4 linked regions of the Stegostoma tigrinum genome follow. The protein of the gene in region 1 interacts with the protein of each later gene in a pairwise test. Links are inferred from orthologs where the notes say so. Each region holds a gene or a part of one and is shown on either strand. Other genes may lie near its edges.

Region 1 (7,441 bases):
GGGTCAGGTAGCATCCTTGGAGAGAGAGCAAGTCTAAATGACTGTTCATCAGAGCATGAAATAAAATTTATTTTTTGTTTTGAAAATGAGAACCATACTAGACTTTATTTTGCAAAAAGCAAAGAACTGTGGAGGCTGGAAATCTGAAACAAAAATCCAAACAAAAATCGAAACACAACAGGTCTGGCAGCAGCTACGAAGAGAAAACAGCTATAACGTTTCGAGAAGGGACCTTTCGTCAGAGCACAAGAATCACTGGACTCGAAATGTTAACTCTTTTCCTAACAGAGGTTTCCTATTATTAAGCTCTAATACCTAAGCGTTGGACATTGGGGTCACCTTTAGAATTGAGTTTGTATTAGTATTCCATGTTTAGTGTTTCCTGTCACCTCACTTAACTGTGTTGCAGTATAAACTAGCTTTTGACAAAGATACACAAGAGATTTACCAGGCACCACACTACTCAATTATGAATACAGCATTTTAGAAAATCAGAAACTTTTGTTCTGAGAAGGAACAAAAACTAATCTTCATAAAGGAGATGGGCAGGGGAGACAACGGTCATCCTGGCATCGTGTATCTTCCCATAATCATTGCCTGAGAAGGTTTAGACAGTTGCTTGACACAGCAGAGATGAGTAGCACCAAATTAAGATACATCAACAGGGACAGGTGGGAAGAAAGAGAAAAAGTGGATGCACTACCTTGATGGGACCAAGAGCTGCCCTACATCAGTCCAAGAGATGAACGAAGACAGGTCCAACTCAGACTACATGATATGAATGATGAACAGTCCAGCGCTCCTAGTTTTGGGATTAGTGGAATAGTCTCATCGGTCACTCTTGAATATTTTTTGTATAACTAACCAAAGTATTATATTCAGAGATAATGGATTCTCCAGCATCTGCAGTTCCCAAGATAATAAAATGTGAAGCTGGATGAACACAGCAGGCCAAGCAGCATCTTAGGAGCACAAAAGCTGACGTTTTGGGCCTTCATCAGAGAGGGGAATGGGGAAAGGGTTCTGAAATAAATAGGGAGAGAGGGGGAGGCGGATCGAAGATGGAGAGAGGAGTGTATAGGTGGGGAGGTGATATGCCAGTCCAGGGAAGACGGACAGGTCAAGGAGGTGGGATGAGGTTAGTAGGTAGGAAATGGAGGTGCAGCTTGAGGTGGGAGGAAGAACAGGAACAGCTATAATGTATTATAATCAACTGCTGCTTCTTAACAACTTCAGGAAACTATTTAAAAAGTGTTTCAAATTGTCCACTGCCTATATCAGGTAATGTGATCATGACATCCAAAATCAGCAGGCTGTCAGAAGTGGTATATCTGATATCAGATGTCTGAACAGAAGTCAAAATTTAATTGGCTTTAAATTTGGGAAGCATCAGTCTTAGATTGTAGCTAAACATTTGTGGAATAACCCTGAAGTGAAACCAGAAAGGTGCAATGGCTTTGGCCTTTTCTAGACAGTTAATAGAAAGCTTGATTGAGAAAGTAGGACACCTGAAGCAAAAGATGACTGTGATGGGAATTACAAATCTATTTTTGACAGAGTCTGTCAGGAGGTTTTGAAGGATGAAGTTAAGATAAAGAAATTCTGTAATAAACTGGCCTTCAGCACCCACGTGTGCGCCTTGCAGTTGAGTAAGAAATGCAAGGAATCTAGGGAACGAGTTACAAAGTTAAAAAGGGAAAGTGACATCTTAGAATTAAGACAGCAGATAGAAACATGTAATGAGGGATACTATAAGGAGAAACAGAGAAAATATTGGAAAATATTGAGTTGAGAGCAGAGGATGCAGGATTGATGGGAGAACTAGAGAATAAAAGAGTTAACTAAAATTAAACAACTCCAGACAGAAATTAGCCCACAACAAGCAGTGAATCTACATTCTTTGCTAGTGTGATAAGCGGCCTTGATACATATGGGGAAAGCAAGTACAAGAATGCTTTCCCCTGGTGATTTCAAGCCTTTTTGAGACATTGCAGTTGAAAGCAATCTCTCCTTCTTTCATAGAAGTGAAACAAAGCAAAGCCAGTATATGTGGTAACAAGAGCCATGCTGAAAAGTGAGGTAGGGTGTCAAGACTTGAAGGCGAGAAGGGAGCCCTGCTGCGGTTAAAGAGGAATTCACAACCATGTAGAGACCTCTGTCACCAGCTGAGGCTAGGCCATTAAGGGAAGAATTGGTTATGACAATAGATATGAGTTTTGATATCCTTCTTCTTACATCAAAAAAGGAAATGTTTAGAATCTCATATCCTGGAGTTAGTGATTTCAAACAGCCACCAGCTCCTAGACATAAAATAGAACTGAAGCAGGATATTATGGAGGGGGAAAAAAAGAGTATTTAGTAAATTAGAGGAAGACATGAGAAGGGCAGTGGGGGTAGTAGGTATTGATTTCCATAAACGTTAGTTTCAAACCGTCACCACTGAAAAGTCTAATGTATTTGAAGAGAGATTTCCTGACTGCCACCAATGAACAATGCTACCCCACCTCCATTTCCTTTTTGCTTATTCTTCCTGACAATCAACTCCCTTGAATATTGAGCTCACACTACTGGTCACCATGCAACCACATCTCATTAAATCTATCATGCTGTATTCATTTATTTGAATTTGTCCTTTCAACTTATCGAACTTGTTAGAAATGCTGTGAGCATTCAAAAAAAAAACAGATTCATGCTTTGTCTTTTCACTTTATTACTTATTCTGGTCTTAATTTCTGCTGTTGTCTTCTGCATATCTTTTCTTCCCCTTTCCTGTCCAAAGCTAAATTCTGAATCCTAATACCTACCTCACTTGCAGCCACACCCTCCTGTCCTTGATCAAGGACTAAATTTCACGTAATTAATGGATGTGTGTCTCCTGAAACACATGTCCACGTACCTCTCCCCCTTCTTGATGTGGTGTTGCAGTGCCCACTGCAATTCAGACTCCAGCTTATCAACCCTGAGTCGAAGTTCCTTGAGCAGCTAACACTTGCTGCAGACATGGCAACAGTGAATCATATTGGCATCCACAAGATCCCACATGCTACAGCTGCAACGTGTCATCTACTGTATTTCAGTAATTAATTTCCTAACTGTACTCCTCAGCTGTAATAGCATTTCCTGATTCAAACCACTTAGTCACTCTAAAGAGACACACAGGAAATTACCCAAAAATCATCTAGCTATTTTCCTTCACACTTTAGCTCTGACAGGTAGAACAAGTAAACAGGACACTCTGCCATTGTTTTATCTCTCCTACAACTGCTGTCTTTTCAAGAAATCTATTCTCCTATTCTGCTTTACACTGATACTGACCTGCAACACCCTCCTACCAATCAACTTCATAATGATGTTGATGATGCAAACTTCTCCCAGACAAGTTCCTGTCTTTCAAGTCCTTAACATCAAGGATGTTTCACCCGTATGAGCATGGAAGCAAGGCAGAAGGGAGATTGCAAATGCAATAGTGAAAGAGGATCAATTGTTAACAGAACAGACAGGCATTTCTGCAGCTGCAGTATAAGTCAATTTAATATATTGCTTCTGTGGTGACTAGGTTCAGAATGTTACTGAGCAGCTGAAGTTTATTCTGGAGGAAAGAGTAAACAAGCAATGAAGAGGCCTTTATTGCATAGTGGTAGCGTCCCTACCCCAGACCAGGAGGTCTAGGTTCAAGTCCTACGTGCTTCAAATGTGTGTAATAACATCTCTGAACAGGTTGATTAAACCAAAATAGGCTAAATTGAAGAAAAAAATTAAACACCAATGATTGAGTTCTAAATTGATACTATTAACATAAACATGAGTATTGTGTTTTGATCCGGGGCTAAACCAATAAATTTATGTTACAGTCTGGCTAGGGACCAGTAACCTGTTATTTCCAAACTCTTCAAAATGTAAGATTATGGGGACATATTGAGAAAGAGAAAGAAGATTTTACAATTTTGGGCAAACAGTAAGCTTTATGATACAACATTTGTAAGGCAATCTGTAATATAAACTCAAATTATGGCGTAACACAGAATAAACATTTGTCTCAGTTTATGATCAAACACCCAAGAGCACACAGCGTATGGCAGACACAAAATAAACACCGCCCCCAACCATTTTCTCTACATTATCCCCCAGATGTTAATTAGATAATGGATCATTAAGACTCATCAAACTTCATAAAGGATTACAATTCTTCACATGTATTGATCTTGCCTCCATTGAAACTCCCTCTCTAGTACAGTACCATCATGAATAGCCTCAAAATTCTGGTCAAGCATACCTTTACCTCTATGCTTAGCTGGACTTCAAAAATGCTCCCCAATGTTTATTCATACACATAACTCTAGTTCTTCACTGACAGCTATTTTCAACAAGCTAAAGCTTTCTATGATTTTTTTCTCGCTCTGAGGTCTAATCTTCCTCAGTTACATCCAGAAAATTCTGCTTATTGGCTTTACAATTCCCATTCACTCAGTTGTACTGAAGTCGTGACACGTGCAGCCTTCCTCTGAACCCTTCATGTTTTCCCACAACACAACCAATGAGCATGTCACTTTCTTAATTTCGCAGGACTTCTTCTGAAGCATGACTCCAATATTTAGCTGCCCACTAACTTGAAGAATATCCTCCTGAGTTCAAACAGCACAGACCCATCTAACTCCTTGCCAAGTTCCCTACCCAGAATTTGTGTGGTTCAGCTGCCTACCTAGCAATACAGACAACTGCAGCAGACCTAATATGTACTCAGCATTTCTCTCCCTCTGTATCTCCCCCCTTCTTACACACGCACAGACTGTAAGCTTTGAATTCTTCTTTCATGACCCCTGAATTGCCCTGAGTTACAAGATTTTGCAATAAAATTTTCCTATGGCCCAATTTCAGTGATTAGGGTGTCTGTACTGGGGATCCTTTCATTCCATGACCCCATTCAAATTGCACCTTCCAATTTGCTCCTATTTTTCCTACAAAAGTACACTCCCTCACATTTATCTCTGTTCAACATCATTTGCAAATAATTTCCCCATTCTGCGAGTTTATTAATGTTTACCTGGTAATTTCTTGCAATCCTCCTCAGTATTGGTATCATTCCAGCTTTCTGCCATCACGGAATTTAGAATTTTACTTTGATTGAAAATTTTAAACAGTGAGAGAATGAGACTTTTCACTTAAGGGGAATAGAAAAACTAAAGGCAAATAATACAAGATTATAATTCAAGATAGACCAAAAATATTAGGAAACTTCCTAGCTCAGAAACTAGCTGAAGCAAATTTTATGTATATGTTTTAGGGGAAACTATCTAAACAAGTAAAGGAGAAGATATCAGGGAGTAATGCTGATAGAGTAAGATGAGGAAGGACTGGGTATGGTTCAAATTGTGCATAAGCCCAAACATTGACCAGTTAGGCTGAATGGCCTGTTTCTGTCCTCGTGATCACTGCAATTCTATGTGATCCTTTGTTAACAAAATGAATCAAATCCATGACGAATCTTCGTAAATATTTCTGGAAATGTTTGAAAAATTCTAAGAAATGTTTCCTCAGTGAATAATCAGAATCATGCTAACTTCATCTGTTTGTCATCAAAATGTTTTTTTTAAATCAAAGAACCAACTCACACTGCCATCTAGCAATTGGTATTGGAATAGGCTGTTAATGTTGACAAAACTGCGCCTTGTCTAATGTTTTCAGTTTTCATTTTGATGTAAAAATTAAAAAGTATTTATGTCTGCACACTATTCCAGAATGAATGATAATTTCAATGAAGCTTTCATACATTTCATTTGGGCATTTCCTTTGGGCTTGAAGATCCAAAATAGCACTCTGAACTAATCCAGTGGGAATCCAGTGGATGGAATATTTTCCAACAGTATGGTAGCATTGGATACTCGGGTACCTGAGTGTTTACAGACGGACAGGTGGACTTTGTGGCTTTATTCTCCAGTAATGAGGACACAGGGATGGAGGTGGGAGAGTGATCTGGATGGTCCATTTTCTTTTGGCTGTTTCTGTTATTTCTGCTTCTGTTTTTAATTCTGCTTTTTGTACACTAAAATGGATCTGGAGACTGGCGACTTTGTACACTTTTCACTATACTCCTGTACTTCTGTGCTTGAGTACACATGACAATAAAAGTAAATCTAAATCTGATCCATCAGCCAGAAAAACTGTGCCAAGATTGTATCAAAAAACTGACTTTTTGTTGTGAACTATTATTCACAAGTGGCTTAAAAAGTTAGCCAGAACATTTTAACTTTCCCTTCTTAAGCTAGATCCTAAATTAGATTTGTGTAATTTCATGAAGCTATTCTGACTGTAGAGAAGTTTGCCAGCTGGCAGCATACAACAGATATACAAATAAATGTTGCCATTATTTCCAGAATATTGAATTTAAATTCTAATCCAAAATATAACTTAGTTAAATTCATCTTTACTACGAATCTCCCAATATATTTTAGTTGAGAAAATCAGATTGCATATAGGATCAAATGTTCAAAATGCAATCTGGTGTACTCTCCCTCAGTTTTTTCTGAAATTTAAAGGAGACATTACCTCTGTTCCAACAGCCAATGGGAAATGTTGCACATTCTAAATGTACAACATGATCCAGCTGAATGTGATTTTCTGATGTACACTCATTTGTAAGCAAACACTCCAAAAGTCTTTTTATCTTTGAGGGATAGAAGATGTTTGCAGAATTCTGGAAGGTTTGTTACATGCCATAATCGATGCCCTTCAGCCCATTGTGTTTGAGCAAAGCATCAATTTTCTAATCCCATTTTCAAACACTTGGCCTGCAGCCTTGTATGCTATAACATTTCAGGTGTTCACCTAATTATAGAATGTTAAAATCATACAGTACAAAAAAGGATCTTCAGCCCATCACATCTGTACTGCCAACACAAAGCTAAATATATTCTAGTCTCACTTACCAGCACTTGAGGCACCACCTTAAATGTTATGACACTTCAAGTGTTGATCCAAGCACTGTTTAAAGGTTGTGGATGACTCGTCTCAACTGGCAGTGAATTCCAGACTCACATCCTTTCTGGATGAAAGACGTTCTCCTCAACTCCTCTAAACCTTCTGCCTTTCACCCTAAAACTGTATCCCCTTGCCTTCAACTAGTTTCCTGGTCCATATGGAATAATGGAACCACATTAGCTGTTCCCCAGTCCTCTGGATCCCTTCTATGGCCAGAGAGGATTCAAAAATTCATGTCAGAGCCCCTGCAATCTATTCCCTTGCCTCCCACAGCAGCCTGAGATACATCTCATTTGGCCCTGATGATTTATGCATTTTCAAGCCTGGTAAAACTGTTAATGCCTCCTCACTCTCTATGCTAATTAATTCAAGTATATCATAGTCCTAGTTGGCTTTCTTCAACCTTACAAAGAATTTTGACACTGTCAATCAGGAACTGTTCTTTTCTGCTTTGGTTGTACCATGA
Region 2 (7,929 bases), on another chromosome or scaffold:
ATAGCTCAATGTATGGAAAAGTACATTGCCGTAGCAACCTGGAATTCTTGACTGGTGGGGGTGCAGGTTGTGGGGGGTGATGGGGTGGTGTTATGACCAGATCCAGTTTCCCTAAATTATTACGGTTCCAGATGGGCTATCCCAAATTGTCAAGATCCCAGGTGAGGAGAGATGAATGGTCTCCCCTTCTTTATTCACCCGACTCCTCATTTGGTCACGACAAATTTAATTTTAAAAGGCCTCCTTGCTTGTGAATGCCTTTCTCCCAAAATAATTTGCAGTTTGAAAAGAGACACCTTAAACAAGTTTTCTTAAGTTAACAAAAGAATGAATTTATTTGTTATTAAATGCAGGAAGAAATAACAATGCATGCACATGGTTTAGGAATAAGAAGTGAGTCCAGACAATAATATTTTTAAAAAGATATACAACTTAGCTTCTGTGTCATTCGTGGAAAGTGGATAATAAGATATTTCGACCTTTACAATGGATGTTACCAATCGCATTCAAATAGCCACTGGCACCAATACCAGCAGTTACCGTTTGGCAGTCAATTTGAAATTCTTGACATTGTAGCTTGATTGAGATTCATTTGTCCTGGTTCCTTTCAACAGTAGCTGACTGGAAGCATTCAGATTAAGAGAGATTATTCTCCCTTTCTTTACTTTCAGTTCAGAGGTGTTTAGTGGCTATACTCAAAACTGTGACTTTCACAGCACATTTATCCAGACACTAGAATGTCAGGCCACTAATGCACACAGCCCAGAGCTGAAGCACCTAACCCTGAGTATTCTTGAAAGGGAAAACCCAAACCATATTTCTCACCCAGACTGCTGTCCTTTCTCCCACTACGTTCACAGCCTGAAATAACTCTCAGAAGGTAACAGTTCAGTTTGTAGAGCATTTCTCCCTTTTAAATTCATACTTTTGAAGCTTTCTTGACACCTTGATAGGAGTGACATTCCGTGGTCTCTTTTCAGGCAGCCACTGAATTTATATCCACCGTCATTTTATCTGTATCATTTTCATTTTTTAAAAAAAGCAAGTTGGAATTAAAGCTTGACAGGTCCCTTCTTGATCCAGGGCTATGATCAATGGTCATGACAACAGTTATCCCCATTAGCTGGAAGACCAGTGTGGGTCAGATTGGAGTTCACAGCATGGTGTTCGATCTCTGTTCTGGCTGGGGTAGATTTGGGGCTTACATGTGGTGGAGGTCATGGTGCCGTGTGGGTCAGACCTCTCTTCATGCAGACAACAGAAGAAGAAGAACACACCCGAGGTTGAACCAAATGGTACTTAGCCACTCTGTGATTACACACAGTACACTGTGAACTCACTCACTGAGCCCAGAGGGGTGCTCCTTTTTCTCAATATGTTTTGTTTTATTTTCTTTTCCAGTTATATTTACTTCATGCTAATAGCTTTCTCTGTGTGGATGTCTGTGCATAAAGTACACTCATCAACTTCTGAACTCTTGGGATTTTGTATGAGGTTACTTGATCTTTACTGGATCATTCTTTATACATGTTGTCATCTGTAACCTTGATAACCTGAGCACTAGCTTTAAACATCAGCGACACAGATGGATCATATCGATCAAATATCACGACTTTTGAAATATACTTGAGATTTTCAAATGTTTTTACTATTATGTGATGCGAATAAGTTTAATGCATTAGCATTGTTTCGATAAGCACAGGTTAAGGGAGATGTTTGTGGATCAATATGTAATTTTTACACTTGACCATTAGAAGGATACACATCTGATTGTATTATATCAGATAACGTTTGAGTTTAATTGCTCTCGAGTAAACCTCCAAACAAGAAATGTAGAAAAACAAATTAAGTAATTATTTAGAGTATTCACTGGCATCCTCAATCCCACAAAAAGAGTTTCAAGACAAGCATTTTAGCCATGGCCAATGTCTTAAAATCTGGAATGTCATCCCAAGGTTGAGACAGTAATGCAGAATTGAAATTCACTCCCACAGTCAGTGTGCTAAATTAACCCAAGGCAGTTGAAAGATTTTTACAGCGAGGTTTTTCTCTGTGCTTTCTCAATCTGCTGCTCTAGTACGGGACTTGTTAGTTTTGTAAATGTCAATTAGCTTTGCACCCTAGTAAGCTTCCTGTCCCATGATTAGTATACAAAAGGTAGAATTTATTCTTATTCTGTTCTCACTTTTATGTGTCTGAGTTTGTTCCCTATATGGATCTAGACAATTAATTTAATATAATAACCACACATTCAATTAAATGCACACTTCCGAATTAAGCTAATGTATGGCCATTCATTTCAAAGTTTAGATTAATTTAAATTTTGCAATGTACTTTCAATTAACTTTATCTTCTTCATTTACATTTCTACCTTCACTTCAACGTATTTAATTTATGTTCAATTGTAGCTGCCTGGGGAATATTATCGCACAGTGGGTCATGATGACTCCACTTTTCTGAGATTTATTGATCATTACTTTCCGTTTTTGCAGAATTATTTCGAATTTCCATGTGAATTCTTTTCAGATGCAAGACACAACTTCAAATTTTAAGCAGTGCCATCTCCTTAAATAATTAAAAAAGGGGACCCATTCAATTTCTAGTGTTAATAAATGTGACTACAGAATTCATTGCTCTGGGCGGATTGCACTTACCTGAATATCCAAGTTGCTCAGTCCGGGGCCTCAAAAAGTTTCCATGGAGGATTGAGGACTTCTCAAACTCGTCCCCAAAGAGACCTCTTGATTTATCCATGTACTGATCCAAAGCTGGACCCGAAGAAGAAGAGGAGGAAGTGGTGTTCTGATGAAAGCAACGCTCAGATCTGAAGGCAGTAGAGGATTTTACACTCATGGAAGGCAGATACAGTTTAAATCTCAAAATTCTACTTCACCAGCTCCTTTCTAGCACCCCTGGATGGCCAGGAAATATTGGATAAGCTTCCAAAGACCAAATCGTCTTTTGTGCTCCGATTGTATTCTGTTCTGCTTTTATACAGACTCCTGCCAATGTGTCTGACTGCCAAAGTCAAATTTTGATGTTAATTTTAGCTCTGGCCACATCAGGCATGCAGTTGTGAAAATTCTAACAGATGAAAGGTCGTCAGAGTCCTCCAAACAAATGGAGTGATCAGGAATGTGTTCTCATAGCAAACATTCCAGCTCAGTTCGATGGAGAACTTAAAAAAGCAATTTGACTCCAGCACTGTAATTCTTGTTAAAGCTGCTGCTCTGCTGTCCTGAAACTGGAAAAAAAAAGCTTTATTTAGACTTGAAGCACTGCTTTGGGAACAATTAGAATGATTGAAATGACATTTTGGACATAAATGATTGTGCATTGAGTTAATGAAGGAACATTTCAATTCATTTAAATAGCCCCTACAAAATACAGCAGAATGTAAAACATGCGATTGTTTTGTTCTGGTTGTTTTACAAATGATCAGAAACCTTATCATTTCCAGTTGGCTTGTGCTTAAAGCAATCCAACACAAGAAAATTGATGTGGTATCCCTCAGAAGTTGGATTTGAACTTAGACCTTAATGTATGACAATGTGCTAAAAATGAGTTAAAATTGGGGTTATGAATCCTGGCCTTTGTGAAGCTGGATCTGAATATTCTTGATGTGGCGGTGCTGGTGTTGGACTGGGGGGCGGGGGGGGTGGGGGGACATGGTCAAAAGTCACACGACACCAGGTTATAGTCCATCAGGTTTATTTGAAGTCACAAGCTTTTGGAGTACTGCCCCTTCGTCAGATGAAGTCACTTGCCTGATGAAGGAGCAGCACTTGTGATCTCAAATGGACCTGTTGAACTATAACCTGGTGCCATGTGACTATTGACCCTGAGTATTCTGATCACACTGACTTGGGCTTAGAAAGCAGGGGTACAGGTAGAGTTCATCGCTAAGGAAACACGGCTTTTCTTCAAAGAGAAGTAGGAAAAATGGATGGGTATTGGACAACAAAACTCCACTTTAAACTTACCTCTTCCCAACAGATCTGGTTAAATGGAGAAGATTAAGTTAACGAGTATGGAAGTGTGCGTGCAATCTTTGACATTTTAAGATAATCTGAACTTTTAATAGTGAGTAAACAGTATCTTCCCAGCGACTTGGAGAATGACACAATCTCCTGTATTGCTGTTGCTGGAGTGAAAGAAGAAAAAACTTCAAGGGAAACTGGGAGAAAACATAAAAAAGAGGCCAATGATAAGCATAACGCACAAGAGCATTCAAAATATTTTCAATTTTTTAACATATCTGATTGGACTTTTCAGGAAACATTGATTTTGAAAATGTGCTAGTATATAGCTAGAGCTCTGTTAGACATCGGGATTCAGTGGGAGGGCAAAGAGTAGGGTCCGACTGAGCTTCTCTTCTTTCTTAACAGAAGTAGGTGATCTAATAAGGAATCAGTTTGTCGGCTTCATATTACCAGAATAAGAAGAGGCAGTCAAGATATGTGAAGAAGGTCCCCGCAGTGCAAGGCAAAGGCACTGAAACTAAGGTTGTTCTTTCCTGCTGGCTGGCCGGTCCATTGCTGTTCGATAAAGGTTGTGAACAAGACTGTTAGAGGGCACACAGAGCAGTGATCCAGATATTGGTGGTTAAATGTGGCTTCAGCAGTTGTGTAAAATTGGCTGAAGCAGAGTCTTAGTGGACTTGAAACATTAACTCTGTTTCTCACTCCACAGATGCTGCCAGACCTGCTGAGTGTCTTCAACATTTTCTCTTTTTAGTTCAGATTTTCACCACCCACAATATGTTGGTTTTGTGAAAGACAGGTCCAAAGGGCCATCACAACCAGAAGTGAAATAGTTTTTTGGCCCGGAGAGGCCAGGTCACAGTAGAGGATGGCAAATTATTGCGGTGAGCAACACCGATTATCCCAAGGAAAGGTTGCCATCAGATACTGGCGGGACAGCACCAGGGTCATCCAGGGGTTTACAAAACGGAGATGTTGGCAAGAAGTTATGTCTGGTGGCCAGGTTTTGAAACAGACGTAGATGTGTTGGTGGGGCACTGCCAAGAGTGCCAACATGGACGGAAATTACAGCAGCTGCCCCTCGTTTGTGGGAATGGCTGGGTAAACCCTGGACATCGACTGTTCAGGTCCTTTCATGGGCTTGATGTTCTTCGTCATTGTGGATGCCAATTCAAAGCGCTCATCTGTCAAACATGGGGACGACGGTAGAGAAACTGCACGCATCTTTTGCATGACATGGACTCCCGGAGGCTTGGTCACAGATAACGGGCATCCATAGTATGTTGCTTTTATGAAAAATGAGTGGCTGTGAATTGGTAGCTTATTTTACCAACTCATTTCAATTCTTTTCATTTGACCTCAATCAATGATATTGCTGAGGCATTTGCCATTTTAATGGTATCCACGCCCACGTAGATGTACTAACCCTGACTTTCCACCCACAATGATTGCTAACTTTTGGAAATAATTTGTCACAATAATGCTACCTAATGATAGAGTGTTAAGATTCGCACTTGTTGCCTTTATTGACACCATAATGGTTGACATGATTACAGAAACAAGAAATACTGAAAGTTGAAGTCAAACAAATTTGTGGAGTTTATTATAAGGATTTTTTTAAAAAAGGAAGAGCCACCTGGTTATTAAGCTGTAAAGTAGGACCTTAGCATAACTCGTGACTGGTGACCTCAAGCTCGGACTATATTGACTTCTGGATAGTGGAGAGGGTATGAAATAAATCTAAAATATAATTTTTATAACAAGTGGAGTGTGAGTCACTGGAGAAAGCTTCTTTAATCTATTGAGATGGCCAATTATATGCGGTTCTAATACTCCAGCAATGCCTCATATTTATATAGCACCTTCAGCATAATAAAAAGTCCCAATGATTTTCACAAGAACATTACAAAATAAAACTCTGGTCCTGAGCCATATAAGGAGATATTGTATGAGGACAGGTGGCCAATAGCATGGTGAAGGATGCAAATTTTAGGGAAAACAAGGACACTGAGACAAAGAGGCAAAAGGAGTTAGGGACATGACTTCAGAGCTAAGGAATTTGGCAACTGGAGGCGTGGCCACTAATGATGGAGTGATTAAAATTGCAGTGCCAAAAGACCAGAATTAGAGGATTGAGATATATCGGTGGGTTGTGGGGATCGAAGAGGTTACAGAGAAAGTTGGAACCCAGACTGAAAATTTAAAATCAAGCTATTGTTTGACTGGAGCCAATGTAGGTCAGTGAACGTGGGTTAATAGTGAATGGAAGAAATCATTGTTCATTAACTTAATGAAAGCTTAAGGACTTTATTGAATACAACTGAAATAATTTTTTCTTTCTCCCACCAGGAGAATTTCCATAATGGCCTGCTGGGTTGATAAACATAGTTCAACATAGACCTCAAACCTTTTCCAATAACATATCTCTAATACAGGCTTTGAAACAAACCATTCCTAATACTGATAACATTCTTTCTCATGTCCCCTATGTCAAACAACTTTCTGAGTAAAGATTAAACAAGATGTCCTAGCAAATGATATGGTGACTTCATAGATTTCAGAAGGAAGTAGGTGGGTCTATCTTGAGTATCCGTTCCTTGGGTTTGGGTAAATGGGATTAAATGAGAGGCTGACTTGGGCATCCAACATCTACTAGAAAAGAAATGTTTGAGAGTGAAACTTCCAGCTTTCTATAACAGGAGGTACCATATCAGGTTGGTGGAAGAGGTATAGGTAAGATACCAAGTCGGGGTGGAGTGATTGTCCAGAGATGTTACATTCGAGAGACATTCTACTTAATACACACTATATAGAGAAATGGGAGGGATCTTATTTCTATTATAAAGATGACAATCAGTCTTACCGATGGATGAGCTAGACATTGACCCAGAAATTAACAAAATAACAAATACTACAAGTCTGAATGAAGTCCATCCAAGTCAAGACATAAGAATTCAGCGAGGTACAACTGACCTTTCTGGCCTGAAATGAGCACTATCTGGAAGTGACCTTCTGATGGATTGAGTTTATTGTGTCTGAGTCTTGGGGCGGAGGTGGGAATAGCATGCAAATATAAATGTAGCAAATATGGAGGAAGATCTGGGAGGAGGAGGTGTAGTATTCATCTTGTTAGGGTTAAGGTCCGGGACTGCCCCACATTGATGATGTAAGAGGAGACATGATTGGGAGAGTTGGAGGGAAAATGATCATGGTTTCAGGAAAATAAAAATATGCATGTAACATTGTACACAGTTCCTTAATATCTAATAAATTAGTTAATGTATAGGCAGTTCCTGCATTGCAAATAGGTTCTGTTCTTGAATCTGCTTGTGAGTTAATATGTACGTATGTCCAAGCACAAAACTGGACATTGTTAAGCAGTCATTTGTAAGTAGAGGAAATGTTCATATGTCAAGTCTTTTAATTTACACACCCTGTATGGGATTGTGTTTGTAAATACGAACATTCGTTAGTCCAATGTTCGTAACCTAGCTGTAACCTTTGCAAAGCTAGACTAACCAAAGTGCAACAGCATTCCTTATGAATGGTGGGGTTTTACAAAATATTAAATCTGCCACACACTAGTGTAATGTGTTCTGATGGGGTTAATGTTGAAATCTACAATGAGCTCTGCCAAAAATGATGATGTCATCTGACCTTAGGTGGTAAAAGAACCACTTTGGATCTCAAAAGAGACATACCGAACATTTACGCCTCTCCAGAATCTTTGGAAAAATGTCTATCATACCAATATGCCATATATCTGATTACTTACATGCAATTACTACAACTTGCGTCAGCCTGCAGTCTCTCCTCAATAGACTACTTAGTGGTTCTCCTCTGCCATATTAGATAAAGCAGCCCTGTAGATCTCAATCTAAAAAGAGGATGGTGGCAACAAATCTATGTTATTGTGACCAAGAGTCCAATTAGTTCATACAACGTG
Region 3 (7,235 bases), on another chromosome or scaffold:
AAACTGAGTAATACAGTAAACCACTTCCAGTTCATAAAAACATTGCTATTCAAACTCAGATTTCCCCAGCGTCCTCTTGAATTTTAAAATCTAGCTCTGTACATCACAGAAGACAATAATGATTAATCAGAGATCTCCTTAATCGCATAGAGAAAAGCTACCCACACACAAATAAAAGCCTCACAAAACTTACAATGATTGACATGCCAAATTATCAAGATTTTTAGTGCCTACGGACTGTGAAAATCAAATTAAACAGTGATACTGTATGGCCCTAATTCATAGAAAAACTCAAGAATGACTCCAGTTTGGTTCACTCCAGGTATTACTAAGATAATCAGCAGAGCCTGCCTGTTTACACTATAGGCACAGCAGGGCATCCTTGATCACAGATAATGGAGCAGCGATGGGTAGATGCTTGGACAGTGACGTCAGACATAACTAATGTCACCTTGTTAGTGTCTTATGTTGCTGGGCAATACCAATATATTCAAAGTTATTGAGACAATTTAAACAAAAACCAGTTATACCTCATAAAAATGCAGCTCTGTCAGGGTGTGCAACACTAAGTTATTACACTAAGAACTCAGCTCCAAAAGTAAAATTTGCATTAATCAAACTTGTAAGTATGGGCTCGGTGCCAGAATTAACCTCACAAAAGGCTGTAAACTGTTGCCTGGGGAGGCAAAGTTCCAATTGTGAAGGATGCCAAACTCTAACTGTGAACATAACATTTTCAGGACTGAGCAGAGGACAAAACCAAATTATGAGAAAGGGTGAAAACAGCAAACTGAAAGTATCAGCTGAAAATTTAGTAGAAAGTCTAATGCCCTTGTGAAATGAACATGATCACTTTGGTGTGGAAGAAGTGTCAAAACCCAATCTTCTCCCATACCCATGGTCTTTTCCAACAAGATCAGCATTTATTCCACCACAAAGTAACATGAAAGAATTCCTCCAACCTCAGAATCATTATTTACTGCACCGGAGTTGAAAGACACACCAAATTAACAACTGATTCCATTGAATATTAGGAAGTAATATCTGCAGAACAGTCAGTTTCACGGAGTTTTTAACAATGGTTTAGGAATATAATTCCAAATTTTTGGATAACAGTCTGTCAAAATGACTAGCTTCACAGAATCAGTAAATATTCAAACCCGTCCGAGAGGTTATTACAGGTACTTAATGAAGATGCATGTGCATTGAACAGACGGTTACAGCAAACAAGTATTTCATCCTAAATGGCTACATGCTAATATGGGAGCGTCTCTAGCCACCTGACTCCCATTGCTTCTCTCCCCTTCTGCAGTCATAACAAGGGGTATCGACCATCTTGTAAAAACATGTTTATCGCCTATCAAAATACAAGTCAGGGTGCAGTGTAAACACAAAAGGAAGTTGGACAGTTGTGAGCCTCTTACCTTTTTCTTTTCATCTTCTTTTGACACCTTGTTACTTTTGCTCGACCTGCAGTTTTTCTGATCCCCTGTCTGTTTGATGGTGATCTTGATCTCCGGAGGGCAGATGTAGTTCTCCAGGTTCTTGGGAGGTTTCTTCGGCCGTTTGGTGGTCTGGATCTTGAGTTTCAGGCTGCCGTCTGTGAAGTTCGCCTCCTTGATGGAAAACTCGTGTTCCTCCAGGCCGTCTCCCTGCATTGATTTATCACTGTCTGTGTTGGAGTTGGAGTCCTGGCTACCACTGGCGCTCTCCTCGTCGTCCTGATCCAGCCTCCCCCCGTTCATCTGGCTCCCAGGCGACTGCATCAAGGCTCCAGGAGAGACTGCGGACTTGGCAGTGCAGGCAGCCGACCTGAAATCCCCATCAGCCGGCTTCTGCCTGCAGCCCATCGCCGTATCCCTCTGCTCCATCTCACTCAGCGTCTGTGAGAGGCACAGGGAGCTGTGGGGAGAGCAGCACTCAGCACTTCTCAGTGTCCTCCGTTACTCCAGAGTAATCCGATCCCCCAAACAAAACAAAATAAAAACTGCAATCTGGAAACAAAAATAGATACAAAGTAGAACTGTAAACATCAACTGGGTGGAAACCCCAATCGAACTGACTTGCAATTCCAACTCCTTTGAATTCGCGGTCAGAGAAAATAAATCAGATTCCTGTGGCAGTAATATTAAGTTGTTCCAAATTTTTTTTAAAAAAAGCAACCACCCCCCCCTCTAATCCAGCGAAAGGTTCCACTACCAGTTAAAATAATGGGCGCATGTTCCAATTCGCCTTTTATTAATTAAACTATAACAGCGCTCGACATTTTCTTTCCCAAGACAGCCACGACAGCAAAAAAAAGTTAAACGTTCGTCACATTGCCCTCCGAGAGAGACAAAAACAAAATTCCTCGGATAAAGGCTTCTCGTGTTCCTGCAAACCAGTCCAGCAGCCACGTTACGGGCTCCTGTCAAATGAAGCCACTTTCCTTTACCTCGAACGCACCATTTACTTCATTTTATCGTTCAGTCCGCTCTCAGTGATCCAGAAGCCTTTTTCACATGTCGACAATGTCAGGTCTGTCATGTTGCAATGGCTTTTTTTTTGTATATGTGTGTGTGTGTGTGTGTGTGTGTGTATTTAGAGAGAGAGAGATGTACAAGGTTACAAGTCGATCTGTTGCAGCGTCCACACGCTCCTGCTCCCTCGGTAAAAGCGCCTCAGATACAATGAGAGTTGGGCTGGAAAGCTGCAGCTGCTGGAATCCGATGCTAGAGGCTCTCTAGCTCCACTCCAATTCGACCAAAAAAAAGACGGACTTTTTTTTAAACAACCGAATTGCACCATCAACTCCTTCTCACTAAACACGTACACGACTTTTTTTTCTTTTTTTGGTTCCGTGGCAATGATTGAAATCGGCCACAAAAGAAACAACACCCTCTCCTCTCCACCCCCCCCCCCAAAACACACACATCCCAGACGTTTGTGGGGGGGGGAGGACTTAGGAAAAAAAGATATCGCCAATTTGCTACTTACTAACCCATATCCAGCGCCGAGAACCTGTGGTCTCAACTAGTCCCAAAGCTGCGGAGCTTCTGGAAACGGCATGATCGGATCGGATCGGATTCGATCTGTCAAACTCGAGCACAGCCTCCTCCCCTCAACACCACCACACCACCCCCCCCCCCCCCCCACATCCCGCACCTTCTAGGCTCCTGATCCTGAACAGAGAGCAAAATATGGCGCTGAGGAAGTGCACTGAGGATTGGGCTCTTTGGGAGATTCGATCAGCGAACACGCCGGGCTCCCCACTCCATTCCGCGGCAGTCCACTCCAGCCCTGATCGATCTGCAGTTTCTGTGTGTGTTAGTGTTACAGTGTGTGTGTGTGTTAGTGTGTCTGTCTGTCTCTGTATGTGTGTGTGTGTGGAGGGCTTACTGGGAGCAAAGCACTTGTCGAGGCCGGGGCTTCCAGCGGCAGCTGCTGTAGCCGTGGCGGCGGAGCCGTGCAGTTTGCGGGGATGTGGGCAGGGAGTGAGTGTGTGTGTGTGAGAGAGAGACAGACAGGGCGCTGGGGAACGGGCTCACAGCTCACGGCAGTGATTGCTGCAGCCGCTTGCCTCCTGCGAGGCCTGAGCTTGGAGGAGCCTGGGCATCTCCCTGCCCGTCAGCACCGACTTGCCTCTTGCCCCCGGGGATAAGGGTAACACTCAGATCTAACTCCGCCCTCACATTTTACACTCTTTATACTTCGGTTTGTTTGGGTGGTGACTATTTGGTATCGCGCCTGCTGACTGTCTTCTGCATTTTAATAGATTCCAACTTTATTTTCGTTTATTTACTCCGCATCCACATGTTCTCTCTTATATCTTGCTTCCTCTACGTTGTAGACAGTACCCCCCGCCCCAACCTCCTCTCCATCTTCCCTCTGTGGGAAGGCCTTCTTCCCTAGTGCTGTGTTTTCTTAACCGCATCCTCCTTAAAGGTGACCCGTGTGTGGGCAGCGAGTTGACAGGTTTCCAGGAGTCTGTTTCCAGCACCTAACTGAGTGTATAATTGGAGCTGCCAGTGCTGAAATCACACATGAAGTACGTTAGGATCTAGCACTTATAAGTAGATTCCCAATCAGACTCGGTGTAAGAAAAGAACACACACTTTGTGTATGCCTCGGTGAGCTTCGAAGTACCAAATGATCAAATTTGGTGGAAAAGTCATTCATCCCTCTTTTTTCTGATTCAGCTGGGTATCTTTTGCACTTTTCCAGATTTTCCCATGACAGCCTTCTTATCCCCGAATGTCAATGCACCGCAGTGCTTCACTCTCACAAGATGGCACCATCAGCACCTCGGTGGTATTCAGGCTGAGCCCGTCCACTCCAGGTTGGGCACATCCTTTTTCCCATTTTTTCTCTATTGTTCTTTGTCTTTTCTCCATCTTCCTGACATAGCAGGAGTAGTGTTGGCAGTGACCCCTAGCTTGTAGGCCAACTGCGTGATTTTCTGGAATTGCTGTGTGGCAGCGGCTGCAGCAGTGATGGAACAGGGACTCCTCCCTGCGGTGGATCCGGAGTATGGGTTCTTTTGACAGTGGCGGATCGTTGACTGCAGCTGTGTAAAGGCCTGGAGCAGGGGCTCCTGGCTGACGTAGGCCCAGAGCAGCGACCTTGCAGAATTGTGGAGCCATATTTGGGACCCTGGCCAATGAAGATAAACTCTATTTTTTATTCTTTTGTGGTACCAGATTGTGGTAACAGAATACTTTTCACTGCATCTCCCGAGCTAAATGTAACAATAATTCATTCATTCATTCATTCAAAACATCGTTTCATTCATTCACCAGGATTGTACCAGAACTTCCTGCCCTTAAAAGATCAATGCCCATAACACCATTGTTATAATTTGTCTTTCCTCTGATAGTGATATAAAGGTTAGATATGGAGTAAGAAATTGTTTGGTTGGATGGTCAAAGATAGGAGTTAGTGTAACTCCTGATGAGACCTGCCAGGAATACTTACAGCCAGAGTTGACAACTTTAATCTGCATGGGTCACACACTATCACTCCTGTGTTATATATACTGTAGGATCTCAGATACCAATATTATGATAAATCATATGCATCAATGTCATATAATGGGGATCTATCCGTGCAAAATAATATGTCCAAAGAGTACTTGCATTTCACTTTTCATTTAGAACTTGCCATTGACCATTTTGAGTGTTTTCACTGAGTTCATTTGAAGGATATGCTTATGAATTACCACCATTGAAACTTAGGAACAAAAACAGAATTTGTTAGAAAAGCTTAGCAGGTCTGGCAGAACATGAGGAAGGGTCACTGGACCTGAAACGATACCTCTGATTTTTTTCTTCACGTGCTGCCAGATCTGCCAGCAACTTCTGTTTTTGTTCCTGATTTACAGTATCCGCAGTTCTTTTGATTTTTATTCACCGTTGAAACTTATTTCGGCGACAAAGTAAAACAAAACATTTCCATCAGCATTAATAGACTGGTTTCACTATTTTGTACTTAACTCACCGCCAAATATCACAACAAACTTGGCCTCAGTACTAAAGGAATAAATTGGAAGAACCTACACAACCTTTTGCTCAAACAGTAGAAACACAAATGGCATCCATACAACCCAGCAGCCTTACAGCCTTGACTTTAAATGGCATGACTATTACTGAACCCCCCATTATTGATATCCTGGAGACACAAGACAATAGCACAATGGAAATGTCATGTGACTGGTAATCCAGAGACCAATACTAGGCATTGGTTCAAAATCTGCCACACTAATTGGTGGAATTAAATGCGAGCGATCTTGAGGCACAGCAGTAGTGTGCCTATTGCTAGGCCTCAAGGTCTGAGTTCAAGTCCCACTTGCTCCAGAGATTTGAACTCATTGAATCCTGACAGTATGGAAAGAAGCCATTTAGCCAATTGAGTCTGCACTGACTCTCTGAAGAGCATCTCACCCAGACCCACACAATCCCTGCTTTTACCAGGACCAATCTACATAATTTCCACATTTTTGGACTGTGGGAGCATTGTGCAGTTGGGTAAAGTACTTGTGGAATGGGAGGCAGGAAGTTAGAACTTGGTGTTTGTGCAGTGATGGGGGAAAACATTGTGTGATCAATTTAAAAGATGAGATAATGGGAACTGCAGATGCTGGAGAATTCCAAGATAATAAAATGTGAGGCTGGATGAACACAGCAGGCCAAGCAGCATCTCAGGAGCACAAGAGCTGACGTTTCGGGCCTAGACCCTTCATCAGAGAGGGGGATGGGGAGAGGGAACTGGAATAAATAGGGAGAGGGGGGAGGCGGACCGAAGATGGAGAGTAAAGAAGATAGGTGGAGAGAGTATAGGTGGGGAGGTAGGGAGGGGATAGGTCAGTCCAGGGAAGACGGACAGGTATTACAAGAGAGTTGCAATGGGAGAGAGATTCCCTGAGGTTGGTCCGGAGGGAGGAGGGTAACTTCTTCAGGTTAGGCATCCCTGGAAGAGGCTTCACAGTGAGGTTAAAATAGTATCAGAGATAATGGGAACTGCAGATGCTGGAGTTTTCACAAAAGCTGATGTTTCGGGCCTAGACCCTTTTTTCAAAAGCTGACGTTTCGGGCCTAGACCCTTTTTTTAAGATGATGTGCTTTTTCTACGCTTAAAAGATTTAAATGGATGTTGCTGAGCTTCAGCTTGAATGCTTATAAGTACACAGAGAGCACCTGAATTGAAATATTTGTATCAAAAGGCCACACAGTTAGCATGCCTAGCAGCAGTTTTTACCAAGAAAACAACTTTTTGAATTTAATTAATCAACATGAACCAGGCACTTAGATACAAAAAAACAGTTAAATTTAAACCTGATGGTTTTGATAACATAGAACCAATCCCATTATCAAAAATTGTTATGTCTTCAAGAGTAGAAAAGAAGGGACAGTTCTGCATAGACAGCAGAACAAACTGCCATCAGCTGGTGTTAACAGCCCTCAACTCGCAAGAGAGAATTGCTAGCTCTCACAGACTGCTGTGTTTTAGAGAAAACACCATCTAAAGAACAAAAGTACCCACATCACAAACTAGTGAATATTCCTGCCAGAAGTCACATAACCTGGCTGTAGTTTTGAGAGACTACTTGTTGGAACAGCATACCATTAGAATCTTGTTTTATTCTGGAATGGTTAGTAGTTGGAAGGATTTTATTTGGTTGTTAATAGTTTAGTTAATTTGTTCACTGTTAGAGTTAGATAATTAAGTTGGTACTTGCTGATTTTAAGGTGCATGTCAGG
Region 4 (7,753 bases), on another chromosome or scaffold:
CTCCCTGCGCTCTCTTCCTCGTCCCCTCTCTCTCCTCCCCGCTCTCTCGTCCTCGTCCCCTCTCTCTCCTCCCCGCTCTCTCTCTTCCTCGTCCCCTCTCTCTCCTCCCAGCTCTCTCTTCCTCGTCCCCTCTCTCTCCTCCCCGCTCTCTCTTCCTCGTCCCCTCTCTCTCCTCCCCGCTCTCTCTTCCTCGTCCCCTCACTCTCCTCCCCGCTCTCTCTTCCTCGTCCCCTCTCTCTCCTCCCCGCTCTCTCTTCCTCGTCCCCTCTCTCTCCTCCCCGCTCTCTCTTCCTCGTCCCCTCTCTCTCCTCCCCGCTCTCTCTTCCTCGTCCCCTCTCTCTCCTCCCCGCTCTCTCTTCCTCGTCCCCTCTCTCTCCTCCCCGCTCTCTCTTCCTCGTCCCCTCTCTCTCCTCCCCGCTCTCTCTTCCTCGTCCCCTCTCTCCTCCCCGCTCTCTCTTCCTCGTCCCCTCTCTCTCCTCCCCGCTCTCTCTTCCTCGTCCCCTCTCTCTCCTCCCCGTCCCCTCTCTCTCCTCCCCGCTCTCTCTTCCTCGTCCCCTCTCTCTCCTCCCCGCTCTCTCTTCCTCGTCCCCTCTCTCTCCTCCCCGCTCTCTCTTCCTCGTCCCCTCTCTCTCCTCCCCGCTCTCTCTTCCTCGTCCCCTCTCTCTCCTCCCCGCTCTCTCTTCCTCGTCCCCTCTCTTCCTCATCCCCTCTCTCTCCTCCCCGCTCTCTCCTCCCCGTCCCCTCTCTCTCCTCCCCTTCCCCTCTCTCTCCTCCCCGCTCTCTCTCGTCCCCGTCCACTCCCTCTCCTCCCCGCTCTCTCTTCCTTGTCCCCGCTCTCTCTTCCTCGTCCCCTCTCTCTTCCTCGTCCCCTCTCTCTTCCTCGTCCCCTCTCTCACCTCCCCGTCCCCTCTCTCTCCTCCCCGTCCCCTCTCTCTCCTCCCCGTCCCCTCTCTCTCCTCCCCGTCCCCTCTCTCTCCTCCCCGCTCTCTCTTCCTCGTCCCCTCTCTCTCCTCCCCGTCCCCTCTCTCTCCTCCCCGTCCCCTCTCTCTCCTCCCCGCTCTCTCTTCCTCGTCCCCTCTCTCTCCTCCCCGTCCCCTCTCTCTCCTCCCCGCTCGCTCTTCCTCGTCCCCTCTCTCTCCTCCCCGTCCCCTCTCTCTCCTCCCCGCTCTCTCTTCCTCGTCCCCTCTCTCTCCTCCCCGTCCCCTCTCTCTCCTCCCCGTCCCCTCTCTCTCCTCCCCGTCCCCTCTCTCTCCTCCCCGTCCCCTCTCTCTCCTCCCCGTCCCCTCTCTCTCCTCCCCGTCCCCTCTCTCTCCTCCCTGTCCCCTCTCTCTCCTCCCCGTCCCCTCTCTCTCCTCCCCGCTCTCTCTTCCTCGTCCCCTCTCTCTCCTCCCCGTCCCCTCTCTCTCCTCCCCGCTCTCTCTTCCTCGTCCCCTCTCTCTCCTCCCCGTCCCCTCTCTCTCCTCCCCGCTCTCTCTTCCTCGTCCCCTCTCTCTCCTCCCCGTCCCCTCTCTCTCCTCCCCGTCCCCTCTCTCTCCTCCCCGTCCCCTCTCTCTCCTCCCCGCTCGCTCTTCCTCGTCCCCTCTCTCTCCTCCCCGTCCCCTCTCTCTCCTCCCCGCTCTCTCTTCCTCGTCCCCTCTCTCTCCTCCCCGTCCCCCCTCTCTCCTCCCCGCTCTCTCTTCCTCGTCCCCTCTCTCTCCTCCCCGTCCCCTCTCTCTCCTCCCCGCTCTCTCTTCCTCGTCCCCTCTCTCTCCTCCCCGTCCCCCCTCTCTCCTCCCCGCTCTCTCTTCCTCGTCCCCTCTCTCTCCTCCCCGTCCCCCCTCTCTCCTCCCCGCTCTCTCTTCCTCGTCCCCTCTCTCTCCTCCCCGTCCCCTCTCTCTCCTCCCCGTCCCCTCTCTCTCCTCCCCGCTCTCTCTTCCTCGTCCCCTCTCTCTCCTCCCCGTCCCCTCTCTCTCCTCCCCGCTCTCTCTTCCTCGTCCCCTCTCTCTCCTCCCCGTCCCCTCTCTCTCCTCCCCTCTCTCTCCTCCCCGTCCCCTCTCTCTCCTCCCCGTCCCCTCTCTCTCCTCCCCGTCCCCTCTCTCTCCTCCCCGTCCCCTCTCTCTCCTCCCCGTCCCCTCTCTCTCCTCCCCGCTCTCTCTTCCTCGTCCCCTCTCTCTCCTCCCCGTCCCCTCTCTCTCCTCCCCGCTCTCTCTTCCTCGTCCCCTCTCTCTCCTCCCCGTCCCCTCTCTCTCCTCCCCGCTCTCTCTTCCTCGTCCCCTCTCTCTCCTCCCCGCTCTCTCTTCCTCGTCCCCTCTCTCTCCTCCCCGCTCTCTCTTCCTCGTCCCCTCTCTCTCCTCCCCGTCCCCTCTCTCTCCTCCCCGTCCCCTCTCTCTCCTCCCCGTCCCCTCTCTCTCCTCCCCGTCCCCTCTCTCTCCTCCCCGCTCTCTCTTCCTCGTCCCCTCTCTCTCCTCCCCGTCCCCTCTCTCTCCCTCGTCCCCTCTCTCTCCTCCCCGTCCCCTCTCTCTCCTCCCCGCTCTCTCTTCCTCGTCCCCTCTCTCTCCTCCCCGCTCTCTCTTCCTCGTCCCCTCTCTCTCCTCCCCGCTCTCTCTTTATCGTCCCCTCTCTCTCCTCCCCGCTCTCTCTTCCTCGTCCCCTCTCTCGTCCTCTCCGCTCTCTCTTCCTCGTCCACTCTCTCTCTCTTTCTCACCCCTCTCCCTGCTCTCTCCTCCCCGCTCTCTCTCTCTCAGCTCTCGCGCCCCTCTCTCTCTCTCCCCACATCCCTCTCTCCCTCTCCCCCTCCCTGCTTTCTCCCCCCTCCCCACTGTCTCTCTTTCTCTCCCTCCCTCATCCTACTCCCCCTCTCCCCTCCTTCCTCCCTCCTCAGGGTGGTTTTTAACCTTTTGATGCGGAGTAGACAGGGCTGTGAGGGCTTCTCGCTATCCCAGTCGGTGCTGAGGGTCGGGTCCCAGGATGTTGCCTGAAGTTGGCTCAGGAGGCCGGTTGCCACCGAGCCGGTGCCTGGTAACAGAATCGGGCTCACGCTCTCCTCCAACGGAGCTTCCGCCATGTTCCCCCGACTCCGGCCCTCACTACGCAGGCGCGGAAACCCCCTCCACCACCGCCGCCCGCTGGTAACTCCGGGTATCACACACCGCCAATAGTGCCACTCGCTGGTGACTCCGGGAATCATACTCCACCAATAGCGCCACCTATTGGTTGCACCCCGCCACAGAGAAGGCGCCCCTATGGAAGGAAGCTAAGAAGCGTCACCAGCCGGTGATCCTATGGTACTGTAATGAAAATGGGCAGGTTCCAGAATCTGAGATAACAAAGTGTGGAGCTGCATGAACACAGCAGGCCAAGCAGCATCTGAGGGGCACAAAAGCTGACGTTTCGGGCCTAGACCCTTCATGAGAGAGGGGGATGGGGTGAGGAAACTGGAATAAATAGGGAGAGAGGGGGAGGCGGACCGAAGATGGAGAGTAAAGAAGATAGGTGGAGAGGGTGTAGGTGGGGAGCTAGGGAGGGGATAGGTCAGTCCAGGGAAGACGGACAGGTCAAGGAGGTGGGATGAGGTTAGTAGGTAGCTGGGGGTGCGGCTTGGGGTGGGAGGAAGGGATGGGTGAGAGGAAGAACAGGTTAGGGAGGCAGAGACAGGTTGGACTGGTTTTGGGATGCAGTGGGTCGGGGGGAAGAGCTGGGCTGGTTGTGTGGTGCAGTGCGGGGAGGGGACGAACTGGGCTGGTTTTGGGATGCGGTGGGGGAAGGGGAGATTTTGAAGCTGGTGAAGTCCACATTGATACCATTGGGCTGCAGGGTTCCCAAGCGGAATATGAGTTGCTGTTCCTGCAACCTTTGGGTGGCATCATTGTGGCACTGCAGGAGGCCCATGATGGACATGTCATCTAAAGAATGGGAGGGGGAGTGAAAATGATTTGCGACTGGGAGGTGCAGTTGTTTATTGCGAACCGAGCAGAGGTGTTCTGCAAACCGCTTTGACCATCGACACCCTCATCCGCCTAGCCGAACTCGTCCTCACCCTCAACAACTTCTCTTTTGACTCCTCCCACTTCCTACAGACTAAGGGGGTGGCCATGGGCACCCGCATGGGCCCCAGCTATGCCTGCCTCTTTGTAGGTTACGTGGAACAGTCCCTCTTCCGCACCTACACAGGCCCCTTACCCCACCTCTTCCTCCGGTACATTGATGACTGTATCGGCACCTCACATTTCATTATCTTTCATTCAATTCTGCTTTGGCGCAATATTTCATCCTATTCTCAAGCCCTTCACCTATAACAAGGTCACTCATTGCACCAGCTTTTCCAAGAAACAGAAATTAAATCAATAACGAATCAGTTTCTCTAGCATTGGCGGTATTTTGCTGTTATAAATTAACCAGTTTGGTTTCAGGAAACAAGTGGCATGTATTAGGGGCTGTGTGAAATCAAACATCAATTCGTAGCTGTAATATGCAATTATGTGCATTCGTAGCCCAATCTCAAAGGCAGGAATCATATGTGTCGTAGGTTTCTGGGTCAAGTTGAGCTTCAGGGACTCGAGCACATGATCTCAGTGGACGTTAGAGTGTTGATTGAGGGAGAACTGTCTTGGTCGAAAATGAGATGATAAATTGAGGAATTATCAGCCATTGCATGGGCTAAAGATCAAGGACTGAAGGTTAAGGTTAACGTTTCAAATCCGATATGAGTCTTCGGAGTCAAATAGTGTAGGTTAGATGGGCTTCAGATTGGTATGACAGATAGGCACAACATCGAGGGCCAAAGGGCCTGTACTGTACTGTAATGTTCTATGTTCTATGAAATATTAATTTTGTTTTTCCCTCCAGAGACACTGGCAGACCTGCTGAGTTTCTCCAGTACTTTCAACGTTTCAGACTTCCACCATCCACAGTATTTCTGTCTTTTTTTTAATGATTCCCATGGAATATTTCAAAGATGAGTGGAGTGTTCTCCCAATAAAACAGCTAATTAGATTTTTAAAAAAGAATGGTTTTGGACTGAGGGCATTGCTGGCTCAGCCAGTGTTCATTCAGTGTCCTGAATGAGGTAATGGTGAGCTGTCTTGTTCAAACTATTGCAGTCTTCAGAGGCACAGGACCGTGCACAGCGCTTTATGGAAAAGCGTTCTAAGATTTTGTTCCAGTGATGGTACAGGAATGGAGACAAATCCAATCAGGATAGAGGAACTTGCAGGTCGTGGTGCTCCCATGTATCTGCCGCCTCTGTCTATTAAGGTACTAGCGGTAGTGGGTTTGTGATCACCAGTAAACATTTCCACTGAAAATCATTGATGAAGCTGTTAAAGATGGTTAGGTCTTGGAGACTTCCCTCCTACTCCATTGGCAATAGTTTTCCAAGAGCAGTTTCATGCTACACTTGGTCAACTGCAGCTTTGATGTTAGGGTCAGTCAGTCTCACACCCACCTCCAGAGTTCAGCTCTTGTTCACATTTGAAGTAAGGCTATAATTAAGTCAGAAGCTGACTGTCCCTGATGGAACCCAAACTGTTAGTTTTTTTTTGTTCACCACCATTCACATCTGGATGTGATGTCTCCAATGTGATTGTTTGGTTGTCAGATCACTTAGCCTGGTCTATTGCATGCTGCAGCCACTGTTTGGCCCATTAAATGTCGCTTTACTAGATTGATATTTCATTTCAAGATATACTGCTTTGGAATGTCCTCCAGCACTTTTTATTGAATTGTGGTTGATTACCCAGCTTGTTGGTAGTGGTGGAGTTTGCAGGGGATGGGCAATAGGCCAGACCATGAGGTCATTTTGTGGTTGGCTGCAATTTTCGTCCACAGTGCTTTATGGATGTCCATTTTTGATTTGCTGGATCTGTTCAAAACCTGCCTCATTTGGCACAATGGTTGTGCCACTCATTTAACACACTGCTTTTTTGCAGAGTCTGTTGTATCTGCAATGATTATGTATGCATATGACTGGCACGTTTCCTGTATTACAGCAATGACTACACTTCAAAAGTACTTCATTGACTATAAAGAGCTTTGTGATTCACTTAGATGTGAAAGATGCCATCTTTGCATCTTCATACCTCTCATTATTGCAGCATCAACTGTGAAACAATTGAGAGTTTTACATTTATGTAGGAGTCAGGATTAACTTTGGTACCTTTGAAAAATCAATGAGATTGTTGGAACTGCTGGCCTTTATATGTGTGACAGCAAATACCTCACTCCAATTCTCAGTGTTTATGACAGGAAATAAACATATTCAAACCTTCATTTATTTGAAAACCAACTTTTATCATGTCCTCAGGCCAAATCGAAGTGAATTTTATAATTGAACACATCAAATAGGTAATAAAGTACAAATCATGATAGTCCACTAATGCCTGATAAACTGATCATTAGATGAAGGCCTTTAGTTTATCACAGTTCAAAACTATAAAATTCAAGGAGCCAACAAAAACAGATCTCTGCATCTTCACTTCTCAAAACTGCACAAACTTACACACAAGGTAAAACAAACTCCTCACTCCTCTTCCAGTTTCCCTCCAATAACAGAAAGTTTGGGTTATAAAATGCAACTCATCAAAAACATCTTTTTAGTAATCAACTTGTTCAAATTATTTCACACCTCTGGAGCAAGTGAGACTTGATCCAATATCGTCACTCGGAACATAGGAACAAGAGTAGGCCATTTGGTCCCTCCAACCTGTTTCACCATTCAATGAGATCATGGCTGATCTGTGATCTAACTCTACATACCTCCCATTGGCCCACATCCCTTAGTACCTTTGCTTAACAATAATTTATCTGTCTCAGATTTAATGAGGAGGTGGGGACACTACAATTATAGCACAAGAGTCCCATCTCCATATTTTACACTTGTACAATTTTGAATTAATAAGCTATAAAACAACTTCTTGTTCCTTGATATATTTCCTTTAACTTATTAAATTAATCCAAGGTACCTCACAGCAGAGAGTGACAAAATTGGACACAGAGCCAGATGAGGCAGGTGACCAAAGCCTAGTCAAAAAGATTGGTTTAAGGGAATCTTTAAGAAAGTCTGAGATGTGGAGAGGTTAAGGGATGGAATATTGAGATCGAGAAGGCTGAAGGCATGCAAATAGTGAAGTGAAGGAGCAAGAACAGAAATTGCTGGAAAAACTCAGCAGGTCTGGCAGCATCTGTGGAGAGAAATCAGAGTTATCATTGTAGATTGAGTGACCCTTCCTCAGGACTGATTGTAGCTAGGAAATGTTGGTTTATGTGAAGAAGATAGGGTGAGGGAAGGCATTAAGGAGAAATGATAAGTGGGGATAGAGCCGAAAGAGAGAGAAGTGCATTGAATAGACAAAGGAATGGATAATAATCTGGCTAGGAGGGTGAATAGCTATTAATGGTGATTGTTAGTGGCTAGTGCAGCACTGCAGCCAGCCTGAGACAGAGATGTTGGCCAGGCTGTCTTTCCCCTTGCAACTGCGATAGGATCCTTCTTATCCTTACCTCCCATCCCACCAGCATTGACATTCAGAGGATCATTATTTGCCATTTCTGCCACCTCCAGTGAGACACCACCATCTGACACATATTGCCCTCCCCTCCCCTCTCTTGTCAGCCTTTCACGAGGACTTCCTCTGGTTCACTCCTCTTTCGCCCCACACAGCCTCACTGCACCTTGCCCTGCAACCGCAGGAGGTGTAATACATGTCCATTTACCTCCTCTCTTTGCAGTATCCAAGGGCCCAAACACACCTTCCAGGTGAAGCAACACTTTACCTGT

The links.
Region 2: the proteins of plekhf2 (region 1) and hspb7 interact in binary tests that used the Homo sapiens proteins (3 or more experiments, as listed by UniProt). The two-hybrid records come from large-scale screens. The link is inferred for Stegostoma tigrinum from reciprocal best matches to the Homo sapiens genes PLEKHF2 and HSPB7.
Region 3: the proteins of plekhf2 (region 1) and setbp1 interact in binary tests that used the Homo sapiens proteins (3 or more experiments, as listed by UniProt). The two-hybrid records come from large-scale screens. The link is inferred for Stegostoma tigrinum from reciprocal best matches to the Homo sapiens genes PLEKHF2 and SETBP1.
Region 4: the proteins of plekhf2 (region 1) and ube2z interact in binary tests that used the Homo sapiens proteins (3 or more experiments, as listed by UniProt). The two-hybrid records come from large-scale screens. The link is inferred for Stegostoma tigrinum from reciprocal best matches to the Homo sapiens genes PLEKHF2 and UBE2Z.

What each region holds. Positions count from the first base shown.
Region 1 is NC_081358.1:92,322,913-92,330,353, reverse strand, and holds the start of plekhf2 (pleckstrin homology domain-containing family F member 2), read right to left. Parts: upstream 3,033-7,441; 5' UTR 3,003-3,032; coding exon 2,897-3,002; intron 1-2,896. UniProt on the Homo sapiens protein: May play a role in early endosome fusion upstream of RAB5, hence regulating receptor trafficking and fluid-phase transport. Enhances cellular sensitivity to TNF-induced apoptosis.
Region 2 is NC_081381.1:31,712,798-31,720,726, reverse strand, and holds the start of hspb7 (heat shock protein beta-7), read right to left. Parts: upstream 3,033-7,929; 5' UTR 2,854-3,032; coding exon 2,655-2,853; intron 1-2,654.
Region 3 is NC_081354.1:135,006,556-135,013,790, forward strand, and holds the start of setbp1 (SET-binding protein), read right to left. Parts: upstream 3,080-7,235; 5' UTR 2,977-3,079; intron 2,967-2,976; exon of another isoform or gene 2,435-2,966; intron 1,995-2,434; 5' UTR 1,872-1,994; coding exon 1,425-1,871; intron 1-1,424.
Region 4 is NC_081384.1:4,560,324-4,568,076, reverse strand, and holds the start of ube2z (ubiquitin-conjugating enzyme E2 Z), read right to left. Parts: upstream 3,054-7,753; 5' UTR 3,044-3,053; coding exon 2,874-3,043; intron 1-2,873. UniProt on the Homo sapiens protein: Catalyzes the covalent attachment of ubiquitin to other proteins. Specific substrate for UBA6, not charged with ubiquitin by UBE1. May be involved in apoptosis regulation.